Linked DNA regions of Arabidopsis thaliana. The protein of the gene in region 4 interacts with the protein of the main gene of each other region in a pairwise test. Each region holds a gene or a part of one and is shown on either strand. Other genes may lie near its edges.

What was found.
Region 1: the proteins of IAA7 (region 4) and ARF6 interact in a two-hybrid assay, tested with the Arabidopsis thaliana proteins (2 studies listed by BioGRID).
Region 2: the proteins of IAA7 (region 4) and ARF18 interact in binary tests that used the Arabidopsis thaliana proteins (3 or more experiments, as listed by UniProt).
Region 3: the proteins of IAA7 (region 4) and ARF4 interact in a two-hybrid assay, tested with the Arabidopsis thaliana proteins (2 studies listed by BioGRID).

Annotation. Positions count from the first base shown.
Region 1 is NC_003070.9:10,685,317-10,692,967, reverse strand, and holds ARF6 (auxin response factor 6), read left to right. Parts: upstream 1-1,979; 5' UTR 1,980-2,931; coding exon 2,932-2,974; intron 2,975-3,060; coding exon 3,061-3,179; intron 3,180-3,264; coding exon 3,265-3,363; intron 3,364-3,456; coding exon 3,457-3,513; intron 3,514-3,597; coding exon 3,598-3,753; intron 3,754-3,837; coding exon 3,838-3,922; intron 3,923-4,011; coding exon 4,012-4,102; intron 4,103-4,185; coding exon 4,186-4,350; intron 4,351-4,431; coding exon 4,432-4,554; intron 4,555-4,634; coding exon 4,635-4,710; intron 4,711-4,802; coding exon 4,803-4,950; intron 4,951-5,031; coding exon 5,032-6,269; intron 6,270-6,350; coding exon 6,351-6,541; intron 6,542-6,626; coding exon 6,627-6,843; 3' UTR 6,844-7,146; downstream 7,147-7,651. UniProt on the Arabidopsis thaliana protein: Auxin response factors (ARFs) are transcriptional factors that bind specifically to the DNA sequence 5'-TGTCTC-3' found in the auxin-responsive promoter elements (AuxREs). Seems to act as transcriptional activator.
Region 2 is NC_003074.8:22,886,063-22,891,966, reverse strand, and holds ARF18 (auxin response factor 18), read right to left. Parts: upstream 4,079-5,904; 5' UTR 3,797-4,078; coding exon 3,751-3,796; intron 3,700-3,750; exon of another isoform or gene 3,480-3,699; coding exon 3,364-3,479; intron 3,281-3,363; coding exon 3,182-3,280; intron 3,112-3,181; coding exon 3,055-3,111; intron 2,964-3,054; coding exon 2,811-2,963; intron 2,733-2,810; coding exon 2,648-2,732; intron 2,561-2,647; coding exon 2,470-2,560; intron 2,391-2,469; coding exon 2,226-2,390; intron 2,136-2,225; coding exon 2,022-2,135; intron 1,950-2,021; coding exon 1,877-1,949; intron 1,789-1,876; coding exon 1,309-1,788; intron 1,228-1,308; coding exon 1,040-1,227; intron 930-1,039; coding exon 788-929; 3' UTR 512-787; downstream 1-511. Other genes in the region: AT3G61829 (uncharacterized protein), read left to right, coding at 4,645-4,776; AT3G61826 (uncharacterized protein), read left to right, coding at 5,244-5,336. UniProt on the Arabidopsis thaliana protein: Auxin response factors (ARFs) are transcriptional factors that bind specifically to the DNA sequence 5'-TGTCTC-3' found in the auxin-responsive promoter elements (AuxREs). Could act as transcriptional activator or repressor.
Region 3 is NC_003076.8:24,307,735-24,314,751, reverse strand, and holds ARF4 (auxin response factor 4), read left to right. Parts: upstream 1-1,967; 5' UTR 1,968-2,564; coding exon 2,565-2,939; intron 2,940-3,081; coding exon 3,082-3,138; intron 3,139-3,400; coding exon 3,401-3,586; intron 3,587-3,684; coding exon 3,685-3,769; intron 3,770-3,852; coding exon 3,853-3,943; intron 3,944-4,066; coding exon 4,067-4,228; intron 4,229-4,325; coding exon 4,326-4,445; intron 4,446-4,527; coding exon 4,528-4,603; intron 4,604-4,702; coding exon 4,703-4,868; intron 4,869-4,969; coding exon 4,970-5,658; intron 5,659-5,752; coding exon 5,753-5,943; intron 5,944-6,025; coding exon 6,026-6,194; 3' UTR 6,195-6,497; downstream 6,498-7,017. UniProt on the Arabidopsis thaliana protein: Auxin response factors (ARFs) are transcriptional factors that bind specifically to the DNA sequence 5'-TGTCTC-3' found in the auxin-responsive promoter elements (AuxREs). Could act as transcriptional activator or repressor.
Region 4 is NC_003074.8:8,192,627-8,197,663, forward strand, and holds IAA7 (indole-3-acetic acid 7), read left to right. Parts: upstream 1-1,979; 5' UTR 1,980-2,141; coding exon 2,142-2,380; intron 2,381-2,937; coding exon 2,938-3,191; coding exon of another isoform or gene 3,192-3,202; exon of another isoform or gene 3,203-3,448; coding exon 3,449-3,584; coding exon of another isoform or gene 3,585-3,588; exon of another isoform or gene 3,589-3,896; coding exon 3,897-3,958; intron 3,959-4,049; coding exon 4,050-4,090; 3' UTR 4,091-4,529; downstream 4,530-5,037.

The DNA.
Region 1 (7,651 bases), on a different chromosome or scaffold from region 4:
TTTTAATAATATATATTACCCGTCAATTCAACTTTGTATATATCGCCGACAGAAATATATTAATACATATTCGTATATACATACCGGCTGTTCTTAATAAAGAAAGATTTCGCTTTTGAGAATCTTGTGACCCAATTCAAAACGTATAGAGTGGTGTGATAGCTAGTTAAAAGAATTTGACCATTCACAAATTCGTTTTGGTTCATATCAAAATTGATTTCCATTGCAATACGAATACGAGAATGACAAAAGTCAATGAATGATTTTGTAAGCAGAATTGATCAAGTATGACTAAGAAGCACTATTTTGGCCGCCAGGAAACTATGTTAGGAACATCATTACAAAAATTACAAATCTACGCTTTGTTATATACATGACATATAATCGATGATGCCTTCAAAATTAGTTTCATATTGAAACATAACAAAAATTAATAGTTTAACATGATAATTGACATATGTTGATTATACTAAATAAATTATTTGTAAAATAGGGGGGAGAGAGAAATATGAAGTAACAAAAACAAAAAAGAAAAGAAATGAGAAGATGTCTCTAAAAGCGAATTTTTAATTATTTATTACTCACCTAGTCACCTTATTTGTCATTTTTAATTTTTTATGTTAAGTAATTCTGAAATCTTCCATTGTTTTCACTAAATTCACCCATAATTCTATATATCCATTTTTTAAAACATAACTTGTGAAATCTAGTGTATATAATAACTAATAACTGTTATATTTTTATATTTGTTTGTGTGGGAAAATGTTAAGTAATAACTGTTATTTTGTATAACATGTTCTCTGTATATAATAAACAAGCACTAGGGTACTAGCTATAAGCTACGTTTCTAATTTGTCGCAAATTTTTAAGGTTTTGCTTAAGAATTAGTTGCATAAACAAATGCTAGTTGGATACTTTTGATGCTGATGTTTTATGTACGTATATCACTTTCTTGCATAAAAACACATTAGCCGAATTTTCTAGCAACTGACAATAATGCAACTGAATTTAATACAAATAAATAAATAAAATCTACAAAAGATATGGCGATGGTACTGATCTATTTGTATATAATGCTGTTTCCAACGTTACCCTTGTTTACGTCAAGAAGTTGCACGTGCCTTCTTAGGGCAGTCTTGTCATTTCCCCTAGGTAAATGATCACTATCTCCATTGTTTGGAATCAAAATTCATGTTCTCTAAATTTTTTTCTTTCTTTCGGATAAAATTATCTAATTAAAATTTATTGGAATCTTAAGAAAAAACACGTATATTCTTTATTACAATATATAGCTGAAGAAATCAGATTCGCAAATTTCCAAACGAGGAAGTGTGTATTATACATATATATTACCAATTATACCCTCTTCTACATGCAATTCGAACTACTATTATATACATAAAAAAAAAAAAAATAGAATCAGGAAACCCTAAAAGCACGTCCTGTCATTTTTATCAGGTGATTTCACTGTCTATATATATTGACTTATTGCTATATTCTATATAAAATAAATTTTGCTGTAATTCGCACACTTCCATTTTCACATTACACAATCAAATAATGAGGCAAAATAAAATAGCCAATGAAAGAGTACTTATGTACTCCAAACAGAACTTTTAAACCTTGACCAGTAAACCAAAGGATTTCTACAGCAATGATATTTTTCCTAAAACAAATTGATTCATTTTATTTGCAATAGTTCACTAAAACTCTAGTATAAAAAAGCCTTTGGTCATCCACTAGCTGAAAAAAATCTACAACAACACATAATTTTTATAAAACTACTATGACAAAGAAAAAAAAAAGAGTAAGAAATACGATCATGTAATACTATAATATATGATGGTACCATAACGTATTATTATTTTTTTTTTTTTCCTTTGTACCATAACGTATTATTAAAACCATAATAGTACTCAATTTTAATTACATGGACGACGCAACGAAGTTTTGAAATTCGGGAGAAGCATAAATTAAAAAAAGGCACGAGTCCCAAACTGTAAATAAAAAGGAAATAAGGGGTAAATTAGTAAATTAAGTGTCCTTTCAGAACAACAAGTTGCTTTAGAAGAAAATCAAAGACCCGCTCCGTTCGGGTTCGGGTCAAAAAACAGCCATTGTCGTTCTTTCTTCTTCTTCTGATTCTCATTTCAAATAAGAGAGAGAGAGAGAGAAGTAAGTAAAACTTTAGCAGAGAGAAGAATAAACAAATAATTATAGCACCGTCACGTCGCCGCCGTATTTCGTTACCGGAAAAAAAAAATCATTCTTCAACATAAAAATAAAAACAGTCTCTTTCTTTCTATCTTTGTCTATCTTTGATTATTCTCTGTGTACCCATGTTCTGCAACAGTTGAGCAAGTGCATGCCCCATATCTCTCTGTTTCTCATTTCCCGATCTTTGCATTAATCATATACTTCGCCTGAGATCTCGATTAAGCCAGCTTATAGAAGAAGAAACGGCACCAGCTTCTGTCGTTTTAGTTAGCTCGAGATCTGTGTTTCTTTTTTTCTTGGCTTCTGAGCTTTTGGCGGTGGTGGGTTTTTCTGGAGAAACCCAAACGACTATCAAAGTTTTGTTTTTTACAATTTTAAGTGGGAGTTATGAGTGGGGTGGATTAAGTAAGTTACAAGTATGAAGGAGTTGAAGATTCGAAGAAGCGGTTTTGAAGTCGGCGAGACCAAGATTGCGAGCTTATTTGGCTGATGATTTATTTCAGGGAAGAAGAAATAAATCTGTTTTTTTTAGGGTTTTTAGATTTGGTTGGTGAATGGGTGGGAGGTGGAGGGAAACAGTTAAAAAAGTTATGCTTTTAGTGTCTCTTCTTCATAATTACATTTGGGCATCTTGAAATCTTTGGATCTTTGAAGAAACAAAGTTGTGTTTTTTTTTTTGTTCTTTGTTGTTTGCTTTTTAAGTTAGAATAAAAAATGAGATTATCTTCAGCTGGGTTTAATCCTCAACCTCATGAAGGTAATTCTCTCTTTTCTCTCTCTATTGCTTTGATACTTCTAGCAAATAGTGATTTTAAACTAACTTTGTGAGTTTTGGATTGAAAGTTACAGGAGAGAAAAGAGTTCTTAATTCTGAGCTCTGGCATGCTTGTGCTGGTCCTCTTGTCTCACTACCTCCTGTTGGAAGCAGAGTTGTGTATTTTCCTCAAGGTCACAGTGAACAGGTTTTTGTCTCCTTCCTTTTATGATTTGGATTCAAATCTTTCCTTTTTGGTTACAGGTTACTTGAGAATGTTTTGTGGTTTTCAGGTTGCTGCTTCGACCAACAAAGAAGTAGATGCTCATATACCAAATTATCCGAGCTTGCATCCGCAGCTTATCTGTCAGCTTCATAATGTTACAATGCATGTAAGGAACTCACTATCAGTTTTTATGACAAACTTTTCTAAGTGTCTTTTCTGTTTGTGTGTTAGTTAAGAACTTGATTCCTTACCATTTCAGGCTGATGTGGAGACTGATGAAGTCTATGCACAGATGACTTTGCAACCGTTGAATGCGGTATGAGACTTTACTATGTAATTCATAATTAATTTTGTGGAATTTGTCGGTGTTTTGAACCTTCTTTGCTTGGTTTGAATGCAGCAAGAGCAAAAAGATCCTTACCTTCCCGCGGAATTAGGTGTCCCAAGTAGACAGCCTACAAACTATTTCTGTAAAACTCTGACTGCTAGTGATACAAGCACTCACGGAGGTTTTTCTGTACCTCGCCGAGCTGCTGAGAAAGTTTTCCCTCCCTTGGTAATTCATCTTATTGTTCATATGAATTCTACTTTCAAGATTAGCTATTGCCTCCTTAACAATAAAATTTTATGTGTTCTTCAGGATTACTCGCAGCAGCCACCAGCTCAAGAGTTAATGGCGAGGGATCTGCATGATAATGAATGGAAGTTCAGGCATATTTTCCGAGGTTAGCTTTCTTCGTGAAAAATCCAAGTTCTTATTAATAGCTGAAGAACAAAGAGATTTATTTAATCTGTATTTGTTTCTGCGTTATAGGCCAACCAAAGAGACATCTCCTTACCACGGGTTGGAGCGTATTTGTGAGTGCTAAAAGGCTTGTTGCTGGTGACTCTGTTCTTTTCATCTGGTTAGAAACATCTTTCAAATTGGGGTTTTTGTTTAAGTGTTACATTCAAATCATGAAACTGACTCAAGTATTTGTAATGCTAGGAACGATAAGAATCAATTACTTCTTGGTATAAGACGAGCCAACCGACCACAAACTGTCATGCCTTCATCTGTTTTGTCAAGTGACAGTATGCATTTAGGCCTTCTTGCTGCAGCAGCTCATGCTGCCGCTACAAACAGCCGATTCACCATCTTCTATAACCCGAGGTATCGTCTTAAGTACCTTATGAATGCACTTATGTGTTGATTCTCTTCGTTTTGCATCAAACGGATTCGGTTTTTCTGCAGGGCGAGTCCATCAGAGTTTGTTATACCCCTGGCTAAGTATGTGAAAGCGGTTTATCACACTCGCGTCTCTGTTGGTATGCGGTTTAGGATGCTGTTTGAAACTGAAGAATCTAGTGTTCGTCGGTAGGTGAATTATCAGAGTTCCTATAATTTACTCTGCTTTTTGCTGCTGAATGTCCTTAAGAATCTTCGTTTGTTGTCAGGTACATGGGTACAATAACTGGCATTTGTGATCTAGATCCTACTCGTTGGGCTAATTCGCATTGGCGATCTGTCAAGGTTTAGCTCAAAACCAAACCTTTAGTAGAAAATATTCATTGGTCTTTGCATTCTCGTATACATATATCATTCATCATCTGATCAAAATGCAGGTTGGGTGGGACGAATCTACTGCAGGAGAGAGACAGCCAAGGGTTTCATTGTGGGAGATTGAGCCTTTAACAACATTCCCTATGTATCCATCTCCTTTTCCTCTCAGGCTTAAACGGCCGTGGCCTCCTGGTCTCCCATCTTTCCATGGTATTGTAAATTTCAAAACTTTAACAAATCTCTGAAAGGTTTCTATTTCTAGTCTTTTATATCTTCTAATTTTGGTTGCAGGCCTTAAAGAAGATGATATGGGTATGAGTATGAGTTCACCGCTTATGTGGGATCGAGGACTCCAATCTCTAAACTTTCAAGGTATGGGAGTAAACCCGTGGATGCAGCCGAGACTTGATACGTCGGGCTTGCTTGGTATGCAAAATGATGTGTACCAAGCAATGGCTGCAGCTGCCCTTCAAGACATGAGAGGCATTGATCCTGCAAAAGCTGCTGCTTCACTTCTTCAGTTCCAAAATTCGCCGGGGTTCTCAATGCAATCTCCGTCCTTAGTGCAGCCGCAGATGCTGCAGCAGCAACTCTCTCAGCAGCAGCAACAACTCTCTCAGCAGCAGCAGCAGCAGCAACAGCTCTCCCAACAGCAGCAGCAACAGCTCTCTCAACAGCAGCAGCAGCAGCTCTCTCAACAGCAGCAGCAACAACTCTCTCAGCAGCAGCAGCAACAGGCGTATCTTGGCGTTCCTGAAACCCACCAGCCTCAGTCTCAGGCTCAATCACAGTCAAACAATCATCTTTCTCAGCAGCAGCAGCAAGTAGTGGATAATCATAATCCGTCTGCGTCCAGTGCTGCTGTTGTTTCCGCTATGTCTCAATTTGGTTCTGCTTCTCAGCCCAACACGTCACCACTCCAGTCCATGACCTCTCTGTGTCATCAGCAAAGCTTCTCCGATACCAACGGAGGAAACAATCCTATTTCTCCACTTCACACTCTTCTCAGTAACTTCTCTCAAGACGAATCTTCTCAACTGCTCCACCTCACTAGAACAAACTCTGCAATGACTTCATCCGGTTGGCCATCAAAGCGTCCTGCAGTTGATTCATCGTTCCAGCACTCTGGAGCCGGTAATAATAACACTCAATCCGTATTGGAGCAACTGGGACAGTCCCACACAAGCAACGTTCCTCCAAACGCTGTCTCGTTGCCTCCATTTCCCGGTGGTAGAGAGTGCTCGATCGAGCAAGAAGGAAGCGCCTCAGACCCGCATAGCCATCTTCTCTTTGGAGTCAATATAGATTCATCTTCTCTTTTGATGCCGAACGGAATGTCAAACCTTAGAAGCATTGGTATTGAAGGTGGTGACTCCACGACTTTACCCTTCACATCATCTAATTTCAACAATGATTTCTCGGGTAATCTTGCAATGACAACACCTTCTAGTTGCATAGATGAATCGGGTTTTCTACAATCCTCAGAAAACCTCGGTTCCGAGAACCCACAATCTAACACCTTTGTGAAGGTAAAGTTTTATTTCTTTTCCCTACCCAAAATGTTCTTCTTGTTTGCATGCATAGCGATGATTCCGGAAATGTTTTTGTAGGTGTACAAGTCAGGGTCTTTTGGAAGATCGTTAGATATATCAAAGTTTAGCAGCTACCACGAGCTGCGAAGCGAGCTTGCTCGCATGTTTGGCCTCGAAGGCCAATTAGAAGACCCTGTGAGATCAGGCTGGCAGCTTGTATTTGTTGACCGAGAGAACGACGTTCTTCTCCTCGGCGATGACCCTTGGCCGTGAGTTTATTAACTTATCCCTCATTTCCGCATTTGGTTTTGTCCATTTCCATGTTTATTTACCTGCATTTACCATTATCGACAGGGAGTTTGTGAGCAGCGTGTGGTGCATTAAGATACTGTCACCACAAGAAGTGCAACAAATGGGAAAAAGAGGCCTTGAGCTTCTCAACTCCGCGCCATCTTCCAACAATGTCGATAAGCTCCCGAGCAACGGGAACTGTGACGACTTTGGGAACCGGTCAGACCCGAGGAATCTCGGTAACGGTATCGCATCAGTTGGGGGTTCATTCAACTACTAGAAGTAGATGGAAACCTCCCTTTTTATTCAAGTTAAGTTTCAATCTTATAAATTAGTAGTGAGATCATCTTAGTTTAATTACTAGCAAAAATCTCTCTTTATTACTTATAAAAAAGGGAGATTTGCCTTTGCCTTTGATGGAAACAAAAACTATATAATCCCTCTGTCGACTCGTAATACTGTAATTATAAGATCTTTTGGTCTTTTTCTTATATGAATATTTTTACTGAACTCTATATATGTCACTTTCCTTACTCATTTCTTCAATCAATATGATAGTGAAGGGTTATTTTGGAGTTACATTAAGACTTTGTCTGACTAAAATGGTCCACAGAGAAAGTGATTTGGGTCCCAATCTCCTTATTGGAAGTGAAAGCGTTTTGTGGTTTTGTTGTGTGAAACACCAAAATATTCCGACCCGCAATTTGGGGCTTTACCCTAAAATTAGATCTCATTTTGCGTCAGCAAAAACTTTATCTCTAGACACGTATCGATCCGTAGTTCGTAGGACATTTTTATTGGTAGGTAAATTAATATATGCCCTTATCGTTTATAGTAAGTTTTTTTTTTCACAATATCGTTTATAGTAAGTTTAGTTTTCACCAAAGAATATGAAACGAAATTTGTAGAATGAGTATGGTTTTTGTTTGCGTCTTCATGTTAAGATAATTAGAATATTATAACATGGTAAAAAAGGAAATCTAACTCCTATTAACTTGAGAAAATAAACGTCATTTCGATAATTGATCGAAATTGTTGTGAATTTGGAAAATATCTTGCAATATAACTTTTTCTTGTTCGGTTTTATC
Region 2 (5,904 bases), about 15 Mb from region 4:
CCAATACTAAGTTTGAAAATAATTGTATTGTTTTCTTCTTCATTATAAGGCAAATCTGAATTAAAAGTTTAAAACAATATTTTTTTTTTTGACAAATATCAACTACAGTATACACTTCATATGTGACTTTATCCGAAAACAAAATAGATTTTCTTTCTTTTGTCATTTGCATTTTATTAAAGAAAAATCTGATGCAGCTAAAAGGTTTGGAAATTAAAACTTAAGAATTTTTATAGAGAACATCATGGAGACTTATTTTTGGCACGATAACATGAACTTCCAAAGTTTAGTTTTCATTTTTTTCGATTTCAGTTCAATTTTCTAATAACACTATATCCTAGAAGTTCATTAATCCACAAATATTTTTACCAACTCCAAAAGAGAATCTTAACTAGTCGTTTGACTCCTTTACTTTTCCATGACTTTCATATGATGCCCGCCGCGTTGATTTCCACGCCTTCACGTATTTTGTATTCTTCTCTAATACTGTAGTTTTTTTTTTTTTAAGCCTTAATTATTGATTAGAAATATAATCTTTGAACCCATAACTAATTGAATGTACTTGGTTTTGAAAATTGAATGGTTATGGAACAAGTACATACACATAAAAGATGTAAAACCGCCCCATCAACCACTGTCCCAAAACCGAAATATTAAATCGCCAACTTGAAAAATTGACATGAAAAAGAGGACAAGACTTTATATACACAGACTAAAAAAAAAGTCTTTAGACACTTACGCACTAAAACGACGTCGCCGAATTAACCTTAATTAACAGCTAAAACTCTCACCCCCTACTACGATTTTCGAATGATTCATTACCATATTCCTCATTCTCTAACGACGAAGAAATCTTCAGTTTCGTTGTCATTTTCTTAACCTCATCGCTCGAATATATAAATATCTTCTTTGCCATCTTGCAAAACTCACTGCACAATCCCACACAACAGAACATTGCAAAATCAGTTCCGGTTTAAGTTCACATTTAACTGATTTGAGCTAAACCGGAAATGTTTAACTCTGTTATTTTAGAACTTACTTCCACGGATCATCACCAGCAAGCATCATATCTCCTTCATCATCAGTGAAGACAACGATCCATTTGTCTCGGGCAAGAAGCTGTCCTTGAATCTCAAACATCTCCTCAAGCTCATCAATCAGTTCATCGTAAGATTTCAACAGTGTTAAATCAACCGCACGACCAACCGCAATGCCTTGCATTTGCACCTTTTTCAATCCAAGATCAAAGAAATCAGATTTTCAAAACATTGTTGCTATGTTATTATATGAGTTGATAAAGAAAATTACTTTAGTTCGACTTCTTGATGTTTGTTGCTTCTTCTGCTCACTCATTGAGGTTGGAGTGATGGGTTCTTGACACTTGGCAGCTCCACAAGTATCCATCGGTTGCTTGTCTTGAGGGATTGGAGCAGGAGAATTGCTTGTGAGATCAAATCCAAACAACCTATAGCTACAATTCGTTGGAGGAGGAGGAGTCTCGGGTTTGAAGCTGTTGTTTGAGGAGTATCCACCTGAAATTCTCTCAAGTGATGGATCTTGAAACAGTTTAAGGGATGCATTAATGGAATCTTGGCTCTGAGGGAGGCTGTACAAGAAACTAGGTGGGGCTGGTGTTTTAACTGATGGCTCGATGGGTCTTGACCGCTTGCATTTCGATTGTGGTTGTTGAGCAGGAGTTGAAATTGGGGAAGTTGCCAAGAAAGGCTCTATCTCCCATGGTGAGACTTTATCTGGTCTCTGAACTGTTGTTGGCTCATCCCATTGTACCTAAGAAAGACCAAGACAAAAACGTTATATAAAGACCACGTAATAAGTAAAACACTAAAATGTAAGAACGTGGAATGGTTAACTGAACCTGCAATGACCTCCATTTAGAAGCTGGCCATTGTGAAGATAGATCTCCACTTCCCACAATCGTACCAGTAAATCTGAAGACGTTCCAGGTTTCAGAATCAAGAACACTGACAAAAAAGAAATGATCAGAGAAAATGGATTCTTACATTCTCTCAGGAGACTCTTCTCCTTCAAACCTCATTCTGAATCGGGTACCGAGAGAAAATCCATGCTTTATAGCTTCCATATACTTGTTCACCCCAACTATGAATTGGCTTATCCTGCAAAGAGAGAAAACTTTTCTTCAATCAAAGAGTCCTAAACCATCTATGTATATAAAGCAAAATCATCTAAAGAACATTACTATATACCTAGGCTTGTAAAAGACAACAAAGATTGTTGTTGTACGCACAGCATGAGAAGCTGTAGCAAGAACTCCCAAATGCATGCTCTGACTTGAAATAACCGAAGTAGGCATTGTGCTTTGATGCCGAGCTAATCGTCTCACTCCAACCCGTAAATCCCCATTCTCACCCCTGAAAAACACAAAGGCATTACATTTAGGTTCATGAAACTAAACAAGACCAGTGAATAAAGTTTCAATTTCAAAAGTACCTCAAGAACACAAAAGCATCTCCAGCTACAAGTCTTTTCGAGGATACAAATGTACTCCAACCCGTAGTAAGCAAATGCCTCCGTGGTTGTCCTAAACCAAAAACGGCACTCAATGAGTCAATGTCTCATTTAGTCCAAACACAGTTTCACAAAAACACACCAAGATTAGAATCAATACCTCTGAATATATGCTTAAACCTCCATTCAAAGCCATGAAGATCTCTAGTCACAAGTTCTTGAGTAGGAGTAGCTTGTGTCATATCCTAAAAAGTGTAAAATTGGAGTGAGAATTCAAGCTAAAGTTTCTTGAATTGAGAAGGTTTCTTTAAGAATATATTTACCAAAGAAGGCAAGCATTCAGTGGCGTGTTTACGAAGAACAGAGAATCCACCATGAGTGCTTGTATCTGAAGCCGTTAAAATCTTAACAAACGAATGAAACTCTTGCTTAGTTGGTCCAACAATAGGTGGATCAAGACTTGTTGGTTCACTTTGCTGCAAACAAAACAGTAAATTGAAATCAATTCCAATCAATATAAATTAACACTCACTGAAATAAAGTTGAGTTTTTTTTTTAAGAACTTACATCTTCCTCTGGTTGTAATGTGATCTGAGCGTAAACCTCATCTGTTTCATGCTCCGCCTATAAATCAAAATTTAGTTAACAGATTCAGGGGAAATAAAACATTTTAACATTTATGATCCAACTTTACCTTTAAAGTGACATCAAGAACTCGACAAAGTATCTTTGGAGGAAGATCAAAAACAGGTATTTCTTCTGAATTGATTCCTTGATTAGTTGACGCCACAAGCTGCAAAAAAACCCAGAATTTAGAAAGAGAATGGAAAAAGAAAAATTGGGGTAAAAAGAGATGATTTTTGGGTGGGTATATACTTGTTCCATGTGACCCTGAGGGAAGTAGAAAACTCTCTCTTGAGCACGAGGAACTTCCACTAATGGACCTGCACAAACTTTCCATAGCTCTGTGTATAGTTGATCTTGATAAGACCCTAAAATCAAACAACAACAAAACCCTAACAGTCACATTTCCGCGGCAAAACTATAACAAAAATGTGAACTTTGAAGCTATACGAGAAAAATAAGAAAGTTGGGGTTTTTTCTATTTCTTTCTAAGCTCGTCTCCCGAGAAAATGAAAGAAAAAAAAATCGAAACTTTACAAAGCTGATTTTGATTCTACAGAGTAAAACCCCAAACAGAGTCACTGTTAGAAACAAAAAAAAAAACAAAACTTTCTAAAGTCTCAGCCTTTTACTACTCACTTGACGAAGAACTTCCGAAATCATCATCACCTTCAACACTCGCCATTGAAGAACCCAGATGAGAACTGGAGAAGAAGAAGTAGAAGGAGAGGAAATGAAAGAAAATAGAAAGAAAAAAAAACCTTCACGCGGTAAACACTAGTCTTAACCCCATGAAAGAAACACGAGAGAGAGAAGAAAGAAAAGACCCATCAATGGAGAAAATAAAAAAAGCAAAACTTTATAAACAGGACACAACGGACGGTTATGTCCGTATTGATTGCAGAACGTAATTCAGGCACTGTTGGATAAAACTAAATCTCTCCCCTTTTTTTTTCCGTCAGCCACGAAACCGATCTCTCTCTCTCTTCCTCTTAAAATCTTTTTTTTTTTTTGTCTTCTCCTTTCCTTTCAGATTCCGTGTTGTTTTGCTTCAACAATCACAAACTTCTCGCCGTTTTTATCCCGATCCGCAGCAAACCAAAGCTGCTTCCTTTACTGAAGAAGTCTCACAGTATCATGCACATACATATATTCACACTCTCTCCTTCTTTATCTCTCTCTATATATCAAAATATAGAGAGACTTTCTCTTAGTTCAGATCCTGGAGACCTGTCATTTCCACCCACAGTAACTTCAGTTGAATCTCCCTATTTTTCTATTCATTTAATTAAATGTTTTCTAAAATTGTTGTTTTTTGTTTTATCATGTCATCGCTAAAAAGGAAACTCAAATATATTAAATGCGCTAAAATAAAACAAATTGTATTCAAAGGCAAACGAAGGGTCACGCGGCGTTTTGGGAATTGCTTATGAACTAATTACATTTTATTATGTAAAAAAAAAACGTACGGTGCATTTAAAGGAGAGGGCAAATCTCAGCCGTCCGATCAAGACGATAGTAATAAATAAGCTTATGACTTTACTCTATATCCCTAAATTGCCCTTTTTACTGATGACCCCGTTGCCGTTAGCACTTGACGGTGCCGTTACCCACATCGTCTTGTGTCTGGATCGTGGCAGGCAAACGTGTCGGCTTCTCTATTAAACCCCGGCCACATTTTCTTTTTTCCGTTATTTTTTTTTTTTGTGTAACATCAGATAGATTGTTTTTTCCGTTACAGATTTAATTTTTATTTAACACTGTGGAATGTGAGTTAATTACACATTATGCCATTGATCGTTTTTTTTATTTAGGACCCACAAAGGCTATGGCTACACCCACACTCGCACAAGGTCACAGCCATGACTCTTTATGGGACGAGCGTCTTGGGAAGCGTGTGAGTTTTATGTTACCACGTGCCGAGTCAGTTCTGAGTCGCTGGTGTTCATGCTGTATTCTTTTTTTTCTTTCACGCGCTTTTAATCTTAGCAAATCAAAAATCGAAATTATTTGAAAAATTCATGTTTACGGATTTCATATAATTATCGTTAATTGCTTTTATAGAAGGAACTTTTGAAACGTCAAATTTAAAAAATTAAATCGGATAGAGGTGGGAGACACGCGCTTAGTAAATGAGAATGGTGAAGAAGAGTGATAAAAAGTTGAGAAAGCCATGCCGAAGTGTCGGAGGAGAAAGTGGTCCCCACATGGACACGTCAGAGTAAGAGAAATTGCCACGCTGTTTAGTCGTATTCATGACCGACACGTGTCAAATGCTGACTTGTCCTACCAATTTTGCTCATTTACAGAGGAAATTCTATCGCTATTTTTCTTATTTTATTTTATTTTTCCCAATGATAGTGAAGAAAGACTATGATCCAAAAATATTATTGCGTTTTGATTTGTGTACACCCTTGTATTTAATAAAATTTGCAACACGAATCAATGTTGGCTTGTAACCACCCGATGAGACTAATGCTATCACTCGATACTATTTGGGTTTCAAAATCTTTTTTATAGCTTAAGATTTACCTAGAAAACGTCGACGATATTACATAGCCTTACCACTCTTTTTTACTTACAAGTTTGTATAATCATAAGTTCATAGTATTTTTATGTTACCATATACGAGTATTTATTTCCACTCAAAGTTATAGTGTAGACTGTAGAGTTCTCTCGCTAATTACATAAGGCCTACAAATGTGTGTTGTTGATAGTGAAACACTATTACAACATTCAAGCTTCGTTGATGAAGATTATGTGGCCGCGTTACAAGACGAAATATAGATGTGA
Region 3 (7,017 bases), on a different chromosome or scaffold from region 4:
ACAACTTCTGAAGAAGAGACTCATTCTTTCTCCTTCTCCCATCCCATCATCCTTTTTGTTTTCTTCTTTTCTTATTCTTTTTTTTCTTCTCCAATGAAGTTACGAAAGGTTATTACTCATAATCAAATGTTTTTAAAAGTAGATAATTAAGTAAGTTGCGAAATTGTGAAAGGAATATACAAAACATAATATGATACTTTGATCAGGTTATATGAATTAGTAGCAAACTAATATTATATGAGCAAAAATACATGTTACTAGATTTTAACCCGCGGTACACCGCGGACACAGTTCATTTTTAAAAATTAATATATATAAAAATTTGTAAATTATTTTATAGTTTACCATTGTTACTAAGTAACGTCCTGCCAAACCCGTCCTGCCAAACCCGTCCACAAAAAAAAACTATTTATTTTATTAATGTTGATCTTATTTATAATATGTTTATGAATCATTGTCAAAATATTTTAGTCGTTGCGGGACGTTGTACCCACACATTTTTCGCCAATTGGTTAATATATGTTCATTCTTAAAATTTCGAATTACAAAATATGACGAAATTTTTTTTGAGATTTTTTTAAACTTTATATATTATATAATGATGTTAATTATTTTTGATAGATTAAACTTTTTATAAATTCAAATATTAATAATGTTTTATGAAGTTTAAATATACAAATAATAATATTTAAAAAATTAATATTTTTTGCCTTTTAGGTAAATGATATAATAACTCTAAAAGCAAAATTTAAAAGATTTAAATCTTTAAATAAATATTTTCATGCCTAAATAATTAATGTCAGTAGCATGACATTGTAAATAAGTTCAAATACATGATTTGTTTATTTAAACAAAAAATATTTAGTAAGAACAATATTTATTTAAACAAAAAATTTTGTTAATAAAATACGTTTATGCTAATTTTAAGGGATTGATGTGAAGTTTGTTTGGATTAAATTTGATTGATAATGTGATTGACAATTTAAATTAAAAATTTAAAGTAAAATTAATTATTTTGAAAAAAAGATTTAATGCTAATGGCATTGGGTTGTAAATAAGTTCAACTCTAAGATTTATTTGCTAAAATGACTGCAAAAATGTATATATAAATGTTTTCAAATTATGAAGCAATCATTTGGACCATCAAATATATTTTATTTATTTTTACTAAACCCATTTGAAGATATTTATCCAATAAGTAGTAAGTATTTGAGTAGTTTTATTTTACTGAAAGAGTCGGTGTGGTTATTGAAGTATAAATTTTATATTACAGACCGCTGAAAGTTTTTTTTAGTTGATTAGGTTTTTAAACACAGACAGTACTTTAGTTAATCAATAACAAAATGCTGATTTTCATATTGTTTGTCTCAGAAAAAGAGAGAAAAAGTGCTTTTGTTACAAAATCGAAAGGAGCCTACTCTTCTGTCTTTAGCCGGTTGGTTGGCTCTTAACAACGCAATGAAAAAGCATTTTTTCTAATAAATCGAAAACAAATAAAAATTCATAACATAAAAAAAGAAAGAACAAAGAAAGATTCCAAAGAGATACTGTTTCCTTTGTAAGAGTATGCAAAGAAAAAGCTAATCAATTTGCGGTTTTTATTCCTCACAACTCACACAAGTTAAAGAAAATTATGGTGTGAATGAGAAAAACAAAGGGTTACGTCAATTTCGTAATACCATAAATCCAATAGATGCATATAAACTTTGATGGTTCATTTTGAGTGAATAGTCTAGTATGAATAATTAAACGATTGATTCATCGATGGTTTGACGTATTTAAAAAACAGTTGATTTTGAAGAAAACAATCTAGACAATGGATTGAATTAGTCTTATTAGCACCTAATTAAACTTTTAACATTTCTTCTTTCAACAAAAAGGACGAAAATCAAAAACGGTAATAATTAGCAAAAAAGTGAAAACTTTTATTTTGTGTAAACGTGTGTATATTGACACAAATATAGTTTTTATATATAAAATTTCATGTGAATAAATAAGTCTTTATTGGGAAACAAAAACAAAAAAGAGAGAAGAAGAGGAAGAAGAAGAAGAAGGAGAAAGGGAGAGTGTAGGTGTGGGTTCTGTTCTGTCTTGGCTTTGTCTCCCCCGCTTATCTCTCCCTCTCTTTCTCTCTCTCTCTCTCTTTCCACTAAATTGTTTTTTTTTTGCTCTTTAAAAAGTATATTTTTTTCCAATCTGCAAATTTTAGTCTATGTCTGTTCCTTGTGCTCCCTCTTCTCAGTACCTGCAAATGGAGGAAGAAGAATCCTTCTCTGAAACCCTTGTTCTCATTTGATTCCTCCTTCCTCTCTCTTCTTCTCTCTCTGTCTCTGATTCGTTATTCCACACTTATGACTCATCTTTCCCGTCAATAGCTAAGTTTGCCTCTTCTTTGTGAAATTTAGCTGAAAAAGGAGAGGAATTCCGAATTCTGTCACTTCAAAGCTCGAATTTTGCAAACTTTCCTTTGATGGGTTTTACTTGTTTTGTTGTAATCTGATTAAAAATAGAAACTTTTTGTTTTCTTCTTGTCTCCTTTTGCTCTTAAAAGAGAAGCTTTTTCAATGGAATTTGACTTGAATACTGAGATTGCGGAGGTGGAAGAGGAGGAGAATGATGATGTAGGAGTAGGAGTAGGAGGAGGAACAAGAATTGACAAGGGTAGGCTTGGAATTTCACCATCTTCTTCTTCTTCATGCTCTTCCGGATCATCATCGTCATCATCTTCTACAGGCTCTGCATCTTCCATTTACTCTGAGCTTTGGCATGCTTGTGCTGGTCCTCTCACTTGTCTTCCCAAGAAAGGCAATGTAGTTGTCTATTTCCCTCAAGGTCATTTGGAGCAAGATGCTATGGTTTCATATTCGTCTCCTCTTGAAATCCCCAAATTTGACCTTAATCCCCAAATCGTCTGCAGGGTGGTTAATGTCCAGTTGCTTGTAAGTCTGTCTGTATCACTCTACCCAAATAAAGAACATTCCTTTTGTGTTCTATTTTACTATTCTTGAACAAGTTCTGTTTTCTTTCTCTAATTGTGGTAATTGTTTGCAAACTTGGTTCCTTCTTTTGGGGAAACAAAAGGCTAATAAGGACACCGATGAGGTCTACACTCAAGTCACTCTGCTTCCACTTCAAGAGGTACTCTCTTTTACTCAAACTTGTTGCTTTTTTGACAATTCAATTGATTTTTGATATCACTAGTGTAATTCCAGATTCTAGGTGTGATTTTAGATGCTACGGTTTAAAGAGATTGTGAATAATCTTGTTTGTTCTCTAAGTGACTCAAACTCATCATTGGTTTAACAGGATCAGAGGAATCACTGAAACCGTTGGTCTTGTTGAGTTTCATTTATAATCTCTGTGATGTTAAGATGCTGAAGTAACTTCTTGGTTTTTATAGTTTTCGATGCTAAATGGGGAGGGGAAAGAGGTCAAGGAGTTAGGAGGGGAGGAAGAGAGGAACGGAAGCTCATCCGTCAAGCGGACACCTCATATGTTCTGTAAAACCTTAACAGCGTCTGACACAAGCACACATGGAGGCTTCTCTGTACCTAGAAGAGCCGCTGAAGATTGTTTTGCTCCTCTTGTATAATTCTCTATATCTCATTTCCTTATTTTTTTTTTTAAGGAGAGGTTTTATCTTCTTGTTATAAGCCTTATTTGTGAATTTTCCACTGGTGTTAGGACTACAAACAACAGAGGCCATCTCAAGAGCTCATTGCAAAGGACCTCCATGGAGTAGAGTGGAAGTTTCGCCATATCTATAGAGGTGGTTTTGAGTTTGTTATTATTCGTTTCTTTTTTCTTCGTCAGTGAAACCAAAATGTTTAGTTCTGTCTCTTTTTAATATAGGTCAACCAAGGAGGCATCTACTCACCACTGGTTGGAGTATCTTTGTCAGTCAAAAGAATCTCGTCTCTGGTGATGCGGTTCTCTTTCTGAGGTAATCGTAAGATTTCAGTTTATCAAATGGTGATGTAGATTCATGGTGTTTCCCTCTGCTTTGGTGGTTTGAAGCCCTTGATCCAATAATGTTTACATTCATTACTAATATCGGCGTTTATAGAGACGAAGGAGGAGAGCTGAGATTAGGAATCAGAAGAGCAGCACGGCCAAGAAATGGACTTCCTGACTCAATCATTGAGAAGAATTCATGTTCAAACATTCTGTCTCTTGTGGCTAATGCTGTATCTACAAAAAGCATGTTTCATGTGTTCTACAGTCCACGGTGAGATAAAAATGAAAAGCTGCCATTCGTAATGATTCTTAACTAGGTTCAGTAAGAAATAAAGAACTATAATGTTGATTTGTGGATTTATATACAGAGCGACGCATGCAGAGTTTGTGATTCCTTATGAGAAGTATATCACAAGCATCAGGAGTCCTGTTTGCATAGGCACAAGATTTAGAATGCGATTTGAAATGGACGATTCTCCTGAGAGAAGGTATTGTTTCTTTCTTGCTTCTTTCTCTGTGTTGTGTAGCTAATATTGTTGGACGAGAATTTATATTCGATCTTTCTTGCAGATGCGCTGGTGTAGTGACTGGAGTCTGTGACTTGGACCCGTATAGGTGGCCAAACTCTAAATGGAGGTGCTTGTTGGTGCGTCCTCTCATCTTTTTGGAGTATCTGTCTATTAACGTGTAGAAGACTTTTCATTTTCGAAGATTGATATCTAAATCTTTCACATTTGTTTGGCAGGTGCGATGGGATGAGTCTTTTGTGAGTGATCATCAAGAAAGAGTTTCACCTTGGGAGATTGATCCCTCGGTTTCTCTCCCACACTTGAGCATTCAGTCATCTCCAAGGCCTAAAAGGCCATGGGCAGGTTTACTGGATACTACCCCACCCGGAAACCCCATAACAAGTAAATTATATAGACCTCTCTTCTCTTTGGAGTATATGCTTTTGCAAACAGTTCTCAATTTTCATCAGTATATTATTGATAACTGTTCTTGGTTGCAGCAGAAAGGGGTGGTTTTTTGGACTTTGAGGAGTCGGTTAGACCCTCTAAGGTCTTGCAAGGTCAAGAAAATATAGGTTCTGCATCACCCTCACAGGGGTTTGATGTTATGAACCGCCGGATACTGGATTTTGCGATGCAGTCTCATGCAAATCCAGTTCTTGTGTCGAGTAGAGTCAAGGATCGATTTGGTGAGTTTGTAGATGCTACTGGCGTGAACCCAGCTTGTTCAGGTGTTATGGACCTGGATAGGTTTCCAAGGGTCTTGCAAGGTCAAGAAATTTGCTCGCTTAAATCATTCCCGCAATTTGCTGGTTTCAGTCCAGCTGCTGCTCCTAATCCCTTTGCTTACCAAGCCAACAAGTCAAGTTACTATCCGCTAGCTTTGCATGGGATTAGGAGCACTCATGTTCCGTATCAGAATCCATACAATGCGGGAAACCAATCCTCGGGTCCCCCTTCACGTGCAATAAACTTTGGTGAAGAGACTAGAAAGTTTGATGCACAAAATGAAGGTGGCCTACCAAATAATGTTACAGCTGATTTGCCATTCAAGATTGATATGATGGGAAAACAGAAAGGCAGTGAGTTGAATATGAATGCTTCATCAGGATGTAAACTTTTCGGATTCTCCTTACCAGTGGAGACACCTGCATCTAAGCCGCAAAGCTCGAGCAAAAGAATCTGTACAAAGGTAAAACGTTTTCTTTATCATCTCTTTGGCTACTTTGAGTTGCAGTTTTAGATGTCTCTTCTAATCAGTTCTTGTGTTGAATTGTTATCAAAAGGTTCACAAGCAAGGAAGCCAAGTGGGGAGAGCTATTGATTTGTCGCGACTTAACGGGTATGATGATCTCCTTATGGAGCTTGAACGGCTGTTCAACATGGAAGGGCTTCTCAGGGATCCTGAAAAAGGATGGAGGATCTTATATACTGATAGTGAGAACGATATGATGGTCGTTGGCGATGATCCATGGCAGTAAGTTCTTTATACATACCTTCTAAAGGTCAATCACAACTTCTTTTCTCCTAACTTGAAATTGGCTTTCTGCTATGGATAGTGATTTCTGCAATGTGGTGTGGAAGATACACTTATACACGAAAGAGGAAGTGGAGAATGCGAATGACGATAACAAGAGTTGTTTAGAGCAAGCTGCTCTCATGATGGAAGCATCAAAGTCATCTTCTGTGAGCCAGCCTGATTCTTCTCCTACAATCACTAGGGTTTGATACCCATAAAGAAGCTTATTTCCTATGTTTTAAAGTGTGTTTTGCTCACAAAAGAACTTCAACTTTATCTTTGTCTTTGAATCCATTTATGTGTTTGTTTGTGTTTCTTCTGGTCTCCATGGATGTCTCATGTGTACCGTTTTACTCGAGAGATATGTGAGTTTATGGGATGTGTAAAGCATGCCATTGGATTTTAAGGTTTTCAAAATTACAATATATATATTAGTTTTGAAGTATTTTGCTTGATTTTGAAAATTTCATTTCTTAAGTTCTTACATATGTGGATACTCTTGTATTGTTCTTACAATTTTTTTATTTATTTTTAGATTGATATCTAATACATACTAGATATTTGATGATGATTTAATCTTTTTTAAGGAAAATAAATATTAGAGTATACTGCACGGATTAATTAAATAGAATGATGTGACATAGATTTAGCCTTTTTTTCAACTAAAAGTTAACCTTAATTTTATTATATTTTCCTTAAATTTAACATTAATTTTATTATATTTTCTATATTAGAATTAGATTTTTATCATTTTAGGAATATTTCACAATATCTGTATTTCATCATTATAAGGAATGAAATTAGAGGGAAAGCCATTGTAATGCTGTCATTTCATTTTTTACAATGTACCAAAATATGTGGGATAATGTATGTACTATTTTAGTTGAAAAATGGTGCACACAGAAATTTTCATTATGCTTTTTTGCAAATTTATTTTAAAATAGTACATGATTGATTATGATTATTACCTTTCTGTGTTTAAAATTCTGCAATTGCCCAAAATGCGTAAACGTAACCATGGCAGACTAGTAT
Region 4 (5,037 bases):
GTTTAGCAAAATAGAACTAATCATAAATATTTAAGTTTCAAAAGCCTCGATTCTTAAGAAAACTACATAATTTCACATATTTTCACTCGATTGGTTGCGCATCAAATGTATATATAAAACGGATCACAATTTTTTTTTTTGATCAAAACGGATCACAAAATTAAGTGTAAAAATACAGGAACTTTCCTCAGTCTCGTCAGCCATGATGCAATGGCCCTTGATTTCATCTGTAAAAATTACAAGTCTTTTCACATTACAAAGAAGCATTAAGTTCATTTTTTATGTTGGGAAGAAGAAAATCGATGTCAGTCTTCACTCAGTGTCCTCACTAAGAACATGTACCTAGACCAATTAATAGATTCTCTGTTTATATACCACAAATGTCTATGCTTATTAATGAGTAGTACTATTCTTTTATTTTTAATTTTTTAGTAAGACACATTTAATAACCAAGATGATACAGAGAAAACGGGAGACCGTAAACAATTAAAATAATATACGTGACTTGTATAGTTGTATTGCTTGACACAAACTAATTAGAATGTTGACCAAATTTGGTTAACGGAATTTCACCGCCCAATTCCACTTGCTTTATATGCGATGAACAGTTGACCAGAGGAGACAAAGTGTAACAAATAGGCTATTAACAAAACATAGAAGTAATTAATACATTCATAGTTTATATATAGACATGTTGTGAGAACTTATTCTTTTCTTCTTTAACAAACAATCTGAATTCGTTTCATACTATATAAGTATTATATACTACCTAGTTATATGCTAGCTTTGTATTGACTCATAGAGTCATAGTACAAATGCTAAAATACTAAAGCTACACAGAGTGGTAGAACCAGCTGAAATATGTTTAAAACTACATGACCTAACCCAACCATTACAAATTTATAAACAAACTACATCCTGAAACTCCAGAATAGACGATGTAGCTCACTATGAACTATAATGTATGTTTAATGTCAGAACCAAATAAATTTAAAAAAAATGTCAGAACCGTACGAGAAGAACAAACAAAACTTTTTGTAGTTTGTTTGTATATATTTCTAAGTAAAAATGCTGAACACAATTATACAACCAATATATGTGATCTAATGTGCTATTTAGGAAAATTTGTCGATGATAAGTACTACGTCAGAGTCAAAAGACCCATATTGGTTTAGTCCGACTATTAGATACGAAAAGTCAAGCAAACATTACATGTAAATTTTGGTAAGATGTGAGAGATATATATGTCTTTTTTTTTATTTTTTGATAACAAAGATGATGCTAAAATACTTTTAGATCCAAACACCAATTATGAGATTCGGAAAAACTAATGTTAGAATTCGAACCATGATGGCCAATATTACATGAACTCAAGTGGCAAATTTTTTCACTCTTTTACTATTGGAGCAAGATGACTTGGTTATGTAAGAGATATGTTGCTCTCAATATTCTCATAGATCATCTCTTTCTTCAAATTGGTAAGATATGAGAAATATGTCCCATCTTTTTATTATCATACCAAAGTCTTTTATAAAATATATCATATATGTATATATATATATTGTCAAGAATAACTTGACTTCATACATACTATTTGAATTCGGATAGTATCACAAAACATCACTACCACGTAACTGTTGGAACTTCAATTTTACAAAGTATTTCCGGCTAACTTTTCGGCGAGTTTTTCAGTGAAGTTTGTCACAAAAATAAGAATGATCATATTTTTGGAATCTTTGTAATCGTTTTCAAAGTTTTCTCTCCGGATTTTCGCGGTTCTACAATAATTACATTACATATCATGATCAATATGTGACCTGATCCTCGTAGTTAATTAAAACATAATTTCCCGGTCACCATTCAAAACTTTCTAGATGGAAGATTAACAAAACAAAATTATCTTAGCTTAATTTTGTAGTAACAGAGAAGAAATGATTAACTAACATCTAATCAAGCCCACGTGTCATAAACCCCACCAATGAAGAAAAAAGAGCAAAAGACATGCACATGCAATTACACGAATACATACACCCCACCACCATCCTCCCTCCTTATATTATTATTGCCCCTTCCTCTCCTTTCTTCTTCCCCTCTTACCTTTTCAGAGAGAGAAACAATATTTCTAATCTATTACAAGTAACATGATCGGCCAACTTATGAACCTCAAGGCCACGGAGCTCTGTCTCGGCCTCCCCGGCGGCGCTGAAGCAGTTGAGAGTCCTGCCAAATCGGCGGTGGGAAGCAAGAGAGGCTTCTCCGAAACCGTTGATCTCATGCTCAATCTTCAATCTAACAAAGAAGGCTCCGTTGATCTCAAAAACGTTTCTGCTGTTCCCAAGGAGAAGACTACCCTTAAAGATCCTTCTAAGCCTCCTGCTAAGTAAGCTACACATTTACATATATATATATTCTTAGATTTTTTTTTTTTTTGGTTAAAAAGTTCTTAGTTTTTTCCAGTCCATATATATACATATATACGTGTTTATACACATCTATGTCTAAGTTCTTAGAATATTCGAATATATATAAATTTCATAGTTATATGTCCTCGCAGAACATAAATATTGTGAGGGATTTACATAAACATATGAATAAACTAAAAATTCTTGAAATTTGTAATGTTAGTTATATATATATATATATATATATATATATATATATATATACTTCCCATATACATTACCTTTTTTTGTTAAAATTTATATGCATAACTTTGATTCTTTGAAGTTATATTTGTTTTCTATCAATATAATACTAAGAAATAATATAATAATAATTAAAGCGTGGTTGAAACTTAAACACCAATACATACATGCGTACAAGCAAACATGAAATAATACATGTTATAACTTACAATCAAGCCCATAAAGGCAGTAATGGTAACTAATAATTACATTGGTTGATATACACCTATCTAAATAATGTTGTTCTATGTAGAGCACAAGTGGTGGGATGGCCACCTGTGAGGAACTACAGGAAGAACATGATGACTCAGCAGAAGACCAGTAGTGGTGCGGAGGAGGCCAGCAGTGAGAAGGCCGGGAACTTTGGTGGAGGAGCAGCCGGAGCCGGCTTGGTGAAGGTCTCCATGGACGGTGCTCCATATCTGAGGAAAGTTGACCTCAAGATGTACAAAAGCTACCAGGATCTTTCTGATGCATTGGCCAAAATGTTCAGCTCCTTTACTATGGGTACGTATTAGAAATTTCAAATCGGAAAGTGTGAAAAAACTATATTCGTATATTAAAGTATATCATTTACTACATTTATTCATACAAAACTCATGAACCTTACCGAGTTAGAGTCATAGAACTATACATTCGAACCCTATACATATTAACAAGATGAGATTTTGCTAAATGTATACAACTTAAATATGTATTATATATATTACACAATAATGACACATAAATTTATATGATTTTTGAATGTCTTGAATATCTTCAAGGAAACTATGGAGCACAAGGAATGATAGATTTCATGAACGAGAGCAAGCTAATGAATCTGCTGAATAGCTCTGAGTATGTGCCAAGCTACGAGGACAAAGATGGTGACTGGATGCTCGTTGGCGATGTCCCATGGGAGTGAGTCAAATTTAATCGTTTCATATACTTTTTTTTATAACTTATAACTTGACTCGTTAACCACATTTCCCGAAATTGGTAGAGACAAAGCCAAAGATATTCAACATCCATGTGTTATAAATACGTACAACCATGCATTGGTTGGCAAGAGACAAGAGGATCTTTCAAAAATTATACAATAGTATCGATATGTTTAGAGCTCATTCGTAGCTGGCACATCATCATATTATTGCCAAAAACCTTAGAATAAACTTTAAATGTTAACGACTCATATTCTAATGTTCTAACCGTAAACTTGAATACCTATTTCAGAATGTTTGTCGAGTCTTGCAAACGTTTGCGCATTATGAAGGGATCTGAAGCAGTTGGACTTGGTACATCTCTAACTTTTTTTTTTTTTTTTTGTTTTTCAATTTTTACCAATTTTCTTTTTATTTTAATATAATTCTGTTTTCTTGGTTATAGCTCCGAGAGCAATGGAGAAGTACTGCAAGAACAGATCTTGAATTAATAATAAAAAAAAAGAAGCATCAATGATCAACAATATGACGGGTTCTTGATTTTATATGTATTTTTATGATTGTATGTGGCTATCACCTATATATGTGTGTTGTAATTTTAAATACTTGATGGGTATATAGGGCAGTATTTTACCAGTAAGATGTGGACAAACTTGTAATGTGACCAAAAGAGAGGAAACTTCAATATCTCTGTGTTTGTGTCATATTTATTGCCCAACATGTGTCTGTCGGTTTGATGATCAATCACAACTTGATATGTGCATACATATAAATGTGTGTATGTAGGTGTGTGTACATGTACATGTGTTTTGATCCCTACTCTGCTACTTGTCGTTTCTTGTGTGTGTTATCTAATAGTTTTTTCCCAAAATGAATAATTCGTTGTTATGTTTACTATTTTACCAATAAAATCTTAGCTTTTTAATTCTACTCTCTAACCATTACTAGCGTTTTTTAGTTTTAAAAACTCTGATTATGTATTGACTTTTAGATGAAGTCTTTAATGAACAATTGAACATATCCTACAACCCACAAAAAAAATAAGAAGTAGAATTTAAAGTTGGTTTGTTGTCATTTCATCATAAATTGTGTATCCTAATTTTTTGGGACATGTGGTCCGTAATCTGTCATATTTTAAACTAACTGATGATTATATGTGTAGCGGCTTTACAAGATTAATTTAGTCATCATTTCAAAAATATGTTGAAATCAATATAATTTGTTTTCATTATTAAAAAAAAAGTGAGTAAGATACAGTTACAAAAGAGGATATAAAAGTTTTAATATTCGGATGTTTGTTACTCACTTACAATTTGTTACGACTTGCGAGTTATTGATGGTTCTTACTGGTGGATGGATGATGGATCATTAGATATATATATTGTATTCATATTATAGATTAATAATCTCATATAAATTATGTAAGTCGTTGA